Linked DNA regions of Daphnia pulex. The protein of the gene in region 2 interacts with the protein of the main gene of each other region in a pairwise test. Links are inferred from orthologs where the notes say so. Each region holds a gene or a part of one and is shown on either strand. Other genes may lie near its edges.

Region 1 (5,845 bases), on a different chromosome or scaffold from region 2:
GTGAATAAGGGTAATTTCAAAAATCGCGAATGTGAACAAATAAATTCTTTTACTCTATAACAGGTGACTTCATCTAAAGGTCTCAAATTCGTTCGATCTCTCTGGGCTTGGGAAGCGTTATTTGCATGAGTAGAGGCATCGGCGGGCGTGCGGTAAATGTCCTTAGATTCTGATGGAATTTTCGGACATTGAGCTACGAAAAACAAAATGAAATCAATTTGGGACGAAAAACTTGTATTATGTAATTCAAGGTTAGGATTCTTACCAGCTTTATGTCCCACTTCTCCACAGAAATGGCAGACTAGAGGCATCTTTCTCTTGTCACCCTTGATATCATCTGGAAGTGGAGGTAATTCAAATCTCGGACTAAGAAAGAAATTCACAGTTATTTTCACCAACTGACAATAATATTACGAGTTATTTTGTTCTTACTGGACGAATTTGCATTCGGGGCCGTCGGGACAGAAGCCTGCTGTGTAGTTCATGCAGAGCACACCTGAAACATTAAAGCAATATTTAAAATGATTCTTTCACGAAACGATAAAAATGTTATTACGTCGAACATGACGGTGTCGGCAAGTCGGTCCGTGACGGCAGAAACCACGATCATACCAAGGGCAATCTTTGATCTTTGTTTCAGGGTCAATGTGTAAGAAAGGGCATTCTTTGTTGTGACAAGCACCTGGGAGAAAGAAAAAAACATTAAAACTGTTTTATCAAATCAACTCTAGATATGGAACTCACTGAATCTGGCGTAGAAATAACACTCTGGCATCTTAGCCATATCAAATTCATGGAGAAATTCACACTGATCTCCTTTCTTGCATAGTCCTCTGAGCCAATGTTTACATACAATTGTCCGGTCTGCTCTGAGGTGTCTGTATGGGCAAAAACTTGCTCTCTGGCATTGACCTTTAGTGAATAGAGTGCACACCATTGCCGTTGATTCTGAAGAATTAAAAGACCCAAACATTATTAGAAGTCGAAACCATGTGCACATGCATTTAATTCACTTACTGTCCATTCCGGGAAATGGGAGATTTTGGGCTCCCAGCTGTTGCTCTATAAATACAAATATTGGTTCATTAGTTTCATTCAAATTGAAATATGGTGATGATATCAGATCTTGATTCTCTCTTACCCAAGGCAACTTCAATATCAAATTTGATATTGGCAATAGGCGCCATTACGGTATCCATGGTGCCCATTTTTAATTTTAATAGTTATAGTAAAATTCCTGCTGAAAACGATTTAATTTACCCATGCACCAAGCAACATGTACACCAACTTTTGCTTATTTTGCTTTTGACACAAATTTAGAGGAAGGGTAGCCGGGCTACCGCAGGTGAGACTAAACGGCATCTTTAGTTATATTCTTTTACGCTTTTAGAACGTTTCATAACAAAACTAAATTTAGAAATTTTGTAGATCGGAATTCAGCTTTTTATGTAATGGGAATTTTTAGCTTTTAAAGTTTAGTAAACAGTACCGCAAAGAAATGAGGATGGCAATTGATTTTGTGTGCGGTCATCTAGGCCTACACATCATTGCACAGATTGCACTTATTCGGACTCGTGTCTTTGTGTAAAGGTTTACTATTCAAATGAATTGAAATATCAGCAATTGTCTTTTCAAAAATTATCTTAATAGAACAATACTGCTAGTGCTACAGAAAGAACGCCGAGCTCCGCTCACTAGACGAAAAAACCGCAAAGATAAGCTTATCTGTAATTCTTCTCATTTCTCAAGTAAATCGCTAGACTTGGAATTATTTCAGAGAATTCGAGGGTGAGGAAGGAATTTCGTTGTTTGGTCAAAACAAACAAACAAGGTCGAGAATCACGAGACAGAAGTTTGCTTGTTTTGATTTTATTGCGTTTCGCCTCTGCTTATTATTTACAGTAGCTGCCTGGTGGTTCCGCTAGAGGGCCAGTTTTCCATTGCTCGCTGACATGGCTGCCTAAAAAGTGTACCGAGTCCCGTTTTGGACTGCAAAACAAATTGATTTTGACAAAGGATTTCTGTTCTTGTTATATATTTAGACTTACTTAAATGCATGGTTTAAGCCGCACGTGACTTTTTATTATTCTCGATGTCTGAAGTGTAATCTCAGTTCTGTGTTACGATTGGGAGGAGAGTTTGCCTGTTCGCCAGCAATGTCCCACACAGGGATCAATAGGAGAAATGGGGCCATTAAGATTCGACTCACAAGTAAGTGTTTTTTATTTTCTCTTTTGTTTTGATGTTGGGCCAATTTTTCAATCGTGTGCCACAAACGGAATTTTCATTGATTCCTCCTCGGTGAAGCAACATTCCTGGGCTGGTTTTCTCTCATTCCAGGCTTTATTTTATCTGATACCCTGTTTCCTGTCTTTGTAGAAAGGGTAAACTTCCTCTTGCCCCCAGGGGTGGGTTGAGATGGAGGGGAGAGGATTAGTAATGAAATAACAAGTCTTGATGGTATGACCGTGTCTTATTGATGTTTATCTCTTTCTGTCTCTCTCAAACCACCAGTACTGTGCGCCAAGAATCTCGCAAAGAAGGATCTGTTCCGTTTGCCTGACCCATTTGCCAAAGTCAGTGTTGAGGGATCGGGCCAATGTCACAGCACAGACACCTGCAAGTCTTCGTTGGACCCAAAGTGGAACCAGCACTTTGACCTGTAAGTCATCATCACCACCAGACAATTCAACTCTTCAACGCCTGACTGTTTTTTCTCTCTTTTCCCACAGGTACATTGGCAAGTCAGATGCGATAACCATCAGTGTTTGGAACCACAAGAAGATTCACAAGAAGGAAGGTGGCGGATTCCTTGGTTGTGTTCGAATCATGTCCAATGCCATTCAACGCCTGAAAGACACAGGATGTAATGCCAAATAATTCTGTCTTGTGAATGTCCACCTCTAAATTCTTCGTCTCTTTGTTTGTTTGTTTTTCAGATCAACGTCTTGACTTGACGCGCGCGAACGCCAACGACACCGATCAAGTGAAGGGACAAATAGTTATTTCCTTGCTGTCTAGAGAACAGCACAATTCGTCAAGCTGTCACGAGAACAGTGCAACTCCCGTCGTCCAAACCGTTGTGGACGCTCTGGGAAATGTTGCCAGCCCTGCGTCACCTGCAGGCATTCAAGAAGCTGCCACGGCTTCAGTCACCTCTCCCCTTCCGCAGGGTAAATTAAACAACAACAACTTGATGACTTTGAAAATTTTATTGACAAATGTCTTCATAATGGGCAGGTTGGGAGGAAAGGAGGACATCCAGTGGCCGTAGGTATTACGTGAATCCGGAATCGAGAAGTAGTCAATGGACCAGGCCCATCGTGGAGAGTAGCAGCGGGGCTCAGGCCAGCAGCAGCGGCGGCAGCTCAGTTTCGGCCAGCAATGGTCGAGAAAGCAGACGCAGTCACAGTAGCAGAGAACGTGATAAGCGACATCCAGCGGTTCCGGTTCAACAAAGTCACAGTCTGGATGCGGTGTCGTCGTCCAACTCTTCCGGATCGTCTTTCAGAAGACGATCTGTCCGCCATCGGCAACCGCAACAACAACAACAACAGCCATCAACCCAGCAGCAGCAACAGCAACAGCAGTCGAGACGGCCCTTGGCCAACGATTTGCCGGATGGCTACGAAATGCGTAAAACCGGCCAGGGTCAGGTTTACTTTTATCACGTGACGACCGGCATCAGTACGTGGTACGATCCGCGAATCCCACGAGACCTCCGCGATCTTCCCATGCCCGGCGCTCTGCCCCCTGGCTGGGAAATGCGTCACACTCCTTCGGGCAGGATTTATTTCGTGGACCACAATAACCGGACGACGCAATTCACCGACCCTCGTCTCTCTACGGGACTGGCCTTGCAAAATCTCCTCAAGTAAATTATTTCAAATAATAAAATTGACGTCCTTTTTTTTTAATCACGTGAATTTTTTCCAGTCTCCACCGGTCAGACCATCGTGCAGCCCCGTCGCAACCTCAACCGACCCTGCCACCACCCAACGCCGTCGCCACGTCGGAGAATGGGGCCTGCGCGGCGCCTGTGGCCAATTCGACGTCCGCCCCACCCCCGATGGCCACTCCCCTGCCGGACGAGAAACAGGAAGAGGCTCTGCCGCGTTACAAGCGCGACCTGGTCGCCAAAATTAAAATCCTGCGGACGGAATTGCAGACGATGCAACCGCAATCCGGACACTGCCGGCTGGAAGTCTCTCGGACTGAAATTTTCGAGGTTTTGCCAACTTTTGATTTTGATTGAATTGAATTGAATTGAAAACTAACGGGAATAATTGATTGATTGTCATTCAGGAGTCGTATCGGAGCATCATGAAGTTGCGCCCGAAGGATCTCCGCAAAAGATTGATGGTGAAATTCCGCGGCGAGGAAGGGCTGGATTACGGCGGCGTTGCCCGCGAGTGGCTTCACCTCCTCTCGCAGCAGATGCTCAACCCGTACTACGGTCTTTTCTGTTACTCACGCGAAGATAACTACACGTTGCACGTCAACCCCGACAGCAGCGTCAATCCGGTAATGGATGGCCATTGTTTATTTTTCTTTCGTTTGTTTGTTTGTTTGTTTGACAAATAAGTGATTACTCATGCGCTGCCGGAATGGAAAATGAGATGATTCATGGTTATTTTTCTTTATTTTTCTTTTTGGCGGGGTGGGGGAATTGCACAGGAGCACTTGTCCTACTTCCACTTTGTCGGCCGGATCATGGGCTTGGCCGTCTTCCACGGCCACCATTTGGACGGTGGCTTCACCTTACCTTTTTACAAAATGCTCCTCAACAAAGCCATCGTTCTCGATGACATCACTCACGTCGATCCCGAGCTCCACCGCTCCTTGACTTGGATGCTGTACGTGATTTCTTTCTTTCAAAAAATTAATTCCGTTTCATTGACTGAAATCTTTTTCTTTTCTCTTTTGATCCGCAGTGAAAGTGACATAACCGGAGTGATCGACACGACTTTCTCGGTCGAGCACAATGCTTACGGCGCCATTCAAGTCCACGACCTCAAGCCCGACGGCCGTGATTTGATCGTCTCCGAGGAGAACAAACGGGAATACGTGCGGTATGGCCTCACAACTCTTTTTTTCTTTTCCACACTCATTAAAAATGACAACTAGCAAACATTATGGGGCGTATCAGTTCCCAGCTTTCTTCTTTCTTGTTGTTCTCCCCCCCCCCTTCCTTCTTGATTATCATGATGTGGGCGCGGCCGACCTAACGGACAAGACTACTGTCCCGCGGTCAAGACCGTATTTGGCTCTTTTTTTTATTTTCACGTTTTTTGTTGTTTCTTTTTCGAAACTTAGCGGGGTGTGGTCTGGATGACTTTCCAGGTCCCGTCACGTTTCGCAGCTGACGTTATCGAGACTTTTGATTATTTGGGTTTCCAGCTGATGCCAGCCAATTGATTGTGTTCCTGTTTTTTTATATTATTATTATTATTGGGTACTCGCCCGTCAGGTTGTACGTGTCCTACCGATTTATGAGGGGAATCGAACAGCAGTTTCTCTCGCTCCAGAAGGGCTTTCACGAGCTGATTCCGGCCAACCTGCTCCGACCGTTCGACGAGCGGGAACTAGAGCTTCTCATTGGTGGCATTTGCAAGATAGACACGGCCGATTGGCAGGCCAATACTCGACTCAAGGTGAGCAACAACTTCTTGGTGCCCATCCGTCCCATTTTCAATGGATGTCCTGTCCTGTCATCTTCCGTTTTTGGAATTGATAACCTTGGAATTTAATTTGGTCTCTCTCTCCCTTACAGCACTGCACAGCCGAAACGCCCGTCGTCCAGTGGTTCTGGCAGATTGTCGAGTCTTACAGCGAGGAACTGAGG
Region 2 (5,716 bases):
CCTTATTGACAGATATAGAAATGTAAATGATACTTGATTTTGAGAACTCGATCCTCCGCTTTTCCTGCCCAGCAGAGGAGTCGTAAAAACATTTAAGCGCGATGTCTAAGGAACAAAATTGTTGTCAAGCAAAACAACATTGTTTTTGACGTAAAAAGCAACAACTTACCGAAAAATCTTTTCGGCTCAATAATGGGGTAGAAAATGGGCCTTTCTTTCCTTTGTTACGTGGTGGGGGTAGTGGTGGAGGAATTGAAGAATCGGCATTTTTGGGTGGCAGTGGTGGTCTAACTGTCGGGACTATACAATCCAGCGCCTGTGAAAAGACGAATTCTTTCGTTATCTATAACATTGAGGGTATTTTTCAAAATATGGAAGTACTTTTCTAGAATGATTCATTCTTTTAGGGTGTCGATGATACATGTCATCGCAGGATAAGCAAAATATTTGGTTGAGACATTTCTCACACCGAACTTTTGGACTTGAGGATCCACAAAGTTCACAGTGACGTCCATCGCCTTTTCTCGGCTCCATTTTTCCACCTACAACGTGTTGGAAAATACCAAAGTGGATGATTAATAGCTTTTCGTTTGAGCTAACCATTTTGTGCATACAAAAATAAAAATAAATTGTACCAAATCGAATTGAGAACGTAGCTTTATGCCCAGTCCCGTATTCTATGTCTTCGTATTCGTCCTCCAAGGGCGGTGGTTGGGTTGTGGGTAATGGAGGTGGTTCAGCAGATGCAGCGTCGTTGGTAGCAGATGCAGATTTATTTTCGGAACTAGCCGGCGTAATTTGCTAAATAATTCCCACAGCATAGAAACAAAATTAATTTCAAAAAATTAACCAACACCAACTTCCCCCATAAAAACTGACACAAAATTGATTGCAAAGAATTGGTTTAGTTGTTTCGCATCGCAATCAAAAGTATAACTGATGCTGGTGGTCTGAAGTAGTAAATAATAGCGTTGACGTACCCTCATTTCATTTGACACTCACAGGAGACATGGGATAGATTCGACACGAGATAGCCAATTGCGGAAACGGATAAAACGATCCCCACACTCAAAAATCGACTGAAAAATCGTATATAAACTCCCGGAGAGATGGAAAAGGCGGACCGCACGCCGCACTGTGCGATGATGATGTCCGTTCGCCCCGCCGGAATAGACACCAAAGAGCAAAGCAGTGCGACAAACAGGATAGGAATGGGCCGCTGGAATTGTCGGCAATCTGCCAGCGATTCACACGGCACCCCCTGACAAAAAGCAAAATCCCAAAAATATCGTCGAGCTCGTCCTGCTGGTCGTATCTTCCCTGTACCGGGGCAGTTCTCCCCCGTGAGACACCGCCAGCGCGTCAGTGAGAATCAATCTAGACATGCATGAATAGATTTGGCCTTCATTGGAAGGCATTCGGAAGGTGTAGCCAACGGGATTTTAATGGTAAATAACATCATGTAAACACCCGTGCAAACAAAAAAAAAAAAGTTTTATCAACTGAGGTGTACTATAATAGCTAGTAATCGTTCAGTAGATTACAGTAAACTATCAGAAAATATGAAACAAAATAAATAAAGTTTTTACTAGATTAACGTATCGTAAATAATAACAAGTTTGTTTTTTTGCCTGAGCATGCAACTATTTCAATTGCCTAGAGTTGAATGAACTGAATACTTCCTTGTCAATTTACCGAATCAAAAACCCATCCGAGTTCTCGAGATGTAGTTTCGCAGGAACAAAATCAACACTCGCGCTTATTGTGTGTGCCGTGTTTGAATGCAGCTGGCCTTTCTCTCAGACGTCACGGATTTAAACTTTATATATTCCTCTGGAAGAAAGTCAAAAATAGCTTGGCATTCAAGGTTTCCAACTCTGACTGCCGGCGCGTCATTGCCACGGTTATAGGAAGCCACCTCCGTCGTCAGAGACTATTCTGCTACCAAATATTTATCAACAACGATATCCAAATCATTAGCTACACCTCATTTGTCCATGCAAAGCATTTCAAAAGTTTAATCTTGATTAAATACCTACCGGAATTATTCATCTTCTATATTTAATTCTTTGTTTACTCTTATCTTTACACTCTTGTAGCTAAATAAAATATGTTTTTTAAAAAAATAGGGAATCGATAGATTTGTACCATCTCGGTGATGGGAATAACGTAAATTTTCAACACATTCATTTCCGGTTGTTTTACCGGTCTTTGTTGTGTGTTTTTTTTTTTTTTTTTTTTTTAAATTCTCTTCACGCCCATATATCTTCCACCTTCGTAGGGCGTGTAGCATACCGCGTGCGTACTGTCTCTTTTACTGCTTTTCGCGGCTTTTGCACTTTTTGGTCCAGTGCACAGCGCACTGGCTTGTTTAGTTATTTATACTCTTATGGAATTTTCTTATAAATATATCATTGTTATCCCTGTGTTATATGTTCACCACTTCGTCAGATTTAATCATGTCTATCTGGCTCGGGAATCATTTTCATCACCTTGCCAGTTGGCCTTATTCGAAAATACAGCGCCATCTCTGATCCAGATATTTACATGGGAATATTGTTAGTCTAAGCTTCGCTAGATGGCTTCTTTTGTTTATAGACAATTCATTTCTGATTAAAATCCAAGAATCGTAATGATCACTACAATTATATCCATTTCTTAACAGCGGTAAAAGAAGTGACACTGCTTTATTGTGGTTTCTTAACATTCAAATTATCTAATAAATCCGAGTTGAAAGTGCGTTGAAATGGAAGACTATGAGGTATTAGAAAAAATTGGAGAAGGATCTTTTGGAAGAGTTTACAAAGCAAGACATAGACACTTGAGAGGTTTGGTTGCTCTCAAGTTTATTCCAAAAGTAAGTGTTATAAATAAATTCCTTTCCATTTCATTGTAACAAATTCTATACTTTGCGTTTGTAGATTGGTAGGACAGAATGTGAGCTGCAAAGCTTGAGACACGAGTTTGAAATCCAGAAAGGCTTGCGTCACCCAAACATTGTTCACATGCTTGGTGCCTTTGAGACATTTAAAGAGGTAATCAAGAAATTTCACAATTTATTTGTTGTAGTTTTGTGTGTTGATTATTAACGATTTATTTCTCCATCCAGCTAGTTGTTGTCACTGAGTATGTTGAAAGTGACTTGTACAAACTACTGGAAGATGGGACACTCTGTGAAGACAAAATGCGAATGGTTGCTTGCCAGTTGCTATCTGCTCTCTACTACCTTCATTCAGACAGGATATTACACCGTGACATCAAACCTCAGAATATACTGCTGACAAGTGATGGCATCATTAAACTTTGCGATTTTGGATTTGCAAGATCCATGGACCTCAACACTTATGTGCTAACATCTGTCAAAGGAACTCCATTGTACATGGCCCCAGAAATCATAGAGGAAAAGCCATACGATCATAATGCAGATTTATGGTACATTTTTTATTGCAGATATTGTCTCTTCAAAGATTTGTTGATTTACCCTTCATTTTTACAACAGGTCCTTAGGTTGCATTTTGTATGAGCTCCTTTTTGGATCGCCACCCTTTTGCACCACATCTTTATTGCAACTAATACGAAAAATTCGTTACGAAACCGTGCCTTGGCCCACAAATCTGAGCCCAGATTGTTTCAACCTCCTTCAAGGTCTCTTGGAGAAAGATCCTCGCCGCAGGCTAACTTGGCCTCACTTGCTCGAGCATCCTTTCCTGGAGAACAAAGTTCTGCTCCCACCTGAAAGACGTATGTTCAATACAATGTTCCTTTTCTGGTAAAGGTAACAAATTTCACTGATTCCCTCTTTACCTTCTCTCTAGTGAGACCTCAGCTTCCCTTAACGACTGCCTTGACGGCTTCGCAGGAACTGGCCAAAGAGATTCAAAGACAAGATCTCTCCCAAAAGATGCCGTTCAAAAACAAGTGAACATTGTCGTGCTGATTATTTTATCCAATCCTTTAACTGAAATTTATTGGTTGTTCTTTTACAAGGGTTTTCACGCGAGCCCTTCAGAGATTAGAAGAGTACGAACGACGCCGAAATAGCGCTCCAGTTTCTCAGCCCAAACAATTGCTGGCCCATCCCGCCGCCGCCTTCCACAGCACCCAATACAATCCGTACGTCACTTTAAACAGAATTTCTAAAAGTCGCGTTTTTTTTTAAATTTAAAACTTTATCATTTTGGTCGAATAGTGCATTTGGAGACTGGACGCGTCGCCAAAGTGCAGCCGTCGACACCCACCGTTTACCGCCTGCCATCGATCCACGGATCAGTGAGAGGCAGCAATTGCTGGAAAGAATTTTAGAAACGACCAGATGGCCGACCAAACAAAATGTGGCCGATTTCGATCCCCTCGATCCTGGCACCAACGCTCATCATTTCTCCCTCATTCAGCCAGCCGTGCCCAACCCGCCAAACAACCAGCCGACTGTCGAAGAAACTGTTTCACCTTCCATCGAGCCCAAAACGGAGGTAAAAATCGATGTGCAGTCCTATCATAGAAGAAAGGATTGACCAAATGATGATTGATTCATTCTAGGCCAAGGAAACGACAACTGGCGAAGTTGCGGCCGCCGCAACCGCCGCCGCCGGTTCGTTGCTGTCGAAATCTCTGGAAAACGACGAATGGGAAGAGTTTCTTGACGGAACGCTGGCCGACGCCATAGAGAATCCGCAGACGCTGGAGCAGAGGGATCTCGTCGCCGTTGTGGTGGCTCCGTTACGCAACGTCAACGCCAGCCCGAGCCTAGTCGAACGTATAGCGACTCTGCTGGCCCTGCCTTGGGCTGGAATCGACCGCGAGGAATCAGTCGACGAAGAATTAATCGTCCGCGCCTACGCAGACACCCGCGTCGTGCCCAATCTCTTGTACGCTTGCAAAGTAATGGTTCAGAGAAGATCTGGCGATAACCGTAGCACCGGGTAACTCCTCTTTTTGTTTATTTGTCACAGTCTAAATTCCATTTCTCATTCTCCCATGTGATTTCATTTCGTTTTCTATTTTTCTTTTTTTTTTGGGTTGTGCCCAAAAACAGGAGCATCGACAGTAAAAAGACGGACGCCGAATTGACGGCCGACGATCTGCAGTCCTTAGAAATGCTGCTGGGTTTGATGGCCCGTCTGGTGCACCTGAGTACGACCGCAGGTAATCACTCATCGCGAGCTCTTGTGTAACTGGAAACGAAAGTGGGGGTGGCTAATCATTATTTTAATTTTCTATTCCTTCCCTTTTTTTCCCCCCGATTGAATTCACAACAGAATTCATCAATCAATTCTGCGATGCTGTTTGCGTGCTGGATTGCGCGGCCGCCATTCATCACCTGTTGTCTGTCGATCGTCGCAAAGCCCATGCAGTCGGCCACGTTCTGGCCATCCTGTCGCACGTCCTGCGCACTCGAGCCGAGAACGTTAGCGTCGTCCAAGATATTCTCACTCAAAGAGGTATTACATTTCACACAATTGCCTTGAAAAATAAGAAAATGAACGGCTAATCTCACCATCTCTTTCTACCCTTGTGCGACATGACAGACACAAATTTGGTGCGTTTGTTGTCGAATCGAAACCCCATGATTAGGTCCAGGTGTTGTACGCTCATAGGATACCTGTCTCTCAGGTAAGAGAAAAAGAAAAAAAGAAATACAATAAAAATACAACAGCTTTTTCCCATGACGTCAGCTGCAGCAAACAGCGTGAATGATGTTCCTATTCTCTTGTTTTCT

Evidence for each region.
Region 1: the proteins of serine/threonine-protein kinase fused-like (region 2) and E3 ubiquitin-protein ligase SMURF1-like interact in binary tests that used the Drosophila melanogaster proteins (3 or more experiments, as listed by UniProt). The link is inferred for Daphnia pulex from reciprocal best matches to the Drosophila melanogaster genes fu and Smurf.

Annotation. Positions count from the first base shown.
Region 1 is NC_060027.1:2,522,376-2,528,220, reverse strand, and holds the start of E3 ubiquitin-protein ligase SMURF1-like, read left to right. Parts: upstream 1-1,906; 5' UTR 1,907-2,156; coding exon 2,157-2,211; intron 2,212-2,514; coding exon 2,515-2,662; intron 2,663-2,732; coding exon 2,733-2,866; intron 2,867-2,939; coding exon 2,940-3,173; intron 3,174-3,240; coding exon 3,241-3,874; intron 3,875-3,936; coding exon 3,937-4,228; intron 4,229-4,305; coding exon 4,306-4,524; intron 4,525-4,677; coding exon 4,678-4,856; intron 4,857-4,934; coding exon 4,935-5,072; intron 5,073-5,470; coding exon 5,471-5,654; intron 5,655-5,773; coding exon 5,774-5,845. Other genes in the region: cleavage and polyadenylation specificity factor subunit 4-like, read right to left, coding at 54-193, 266-366, 433-496, 557-682, 745-948, 1,018-1,062, 1,142-1,208. UniProt on the Drosophila melanogaster protein: E3 ubiquitin-protein ligase which accepts ubiquitin from an E2 ubiquitin-conjugating enzyme in the form of a thioester and then directly transfers the ubiquitin to targeted substrates.
Region 2 is NC_060025.1:6,991,749-6,997,464, reverse strand, and holds the start of serine/threonine-protein kinase fused-like, read left to right. Parts: upstream 1-2,226; 5' UTR 2,227-2,746; coding exon 2,747-2,857; intron 2,858-2,921; coding exon 2,922-3,035; intron 3,036-3,109; coding exon 3,110-3,432; intron 3,433-3,499; coding exon 3,500-3,741; intron 3,742-3,815; coding exon 3,816-3,918; intron 3,919-3,987; coding exon 3,988-4,113; intron 4,114-4,189; coding exon 4,190-4,469; intron 4,470-4,536; coding exon 4,537-4,919; intron 4,920-5,032; coding exon 5,033-5,142; intron 5,143-5,255; coding exon 5,256-5,438; intron 5,439-5,525; coding exon 5,526-5,610; intron 5,611-5,716. Other genes in the region: E3 ubiquitin-protein ligase lubel-like, read right to left, coding at 34-105, 170-316, 382-542, 636-801, 981-986. UniProt on the Drosophila melanogaster protein: Probable serine/threonine-protein kinase; maternally required for correct patterning in the posterior part of each embryonic metamere. May be involved in control of cell division during metamorphosis and ovarian development. May interact with costal-2.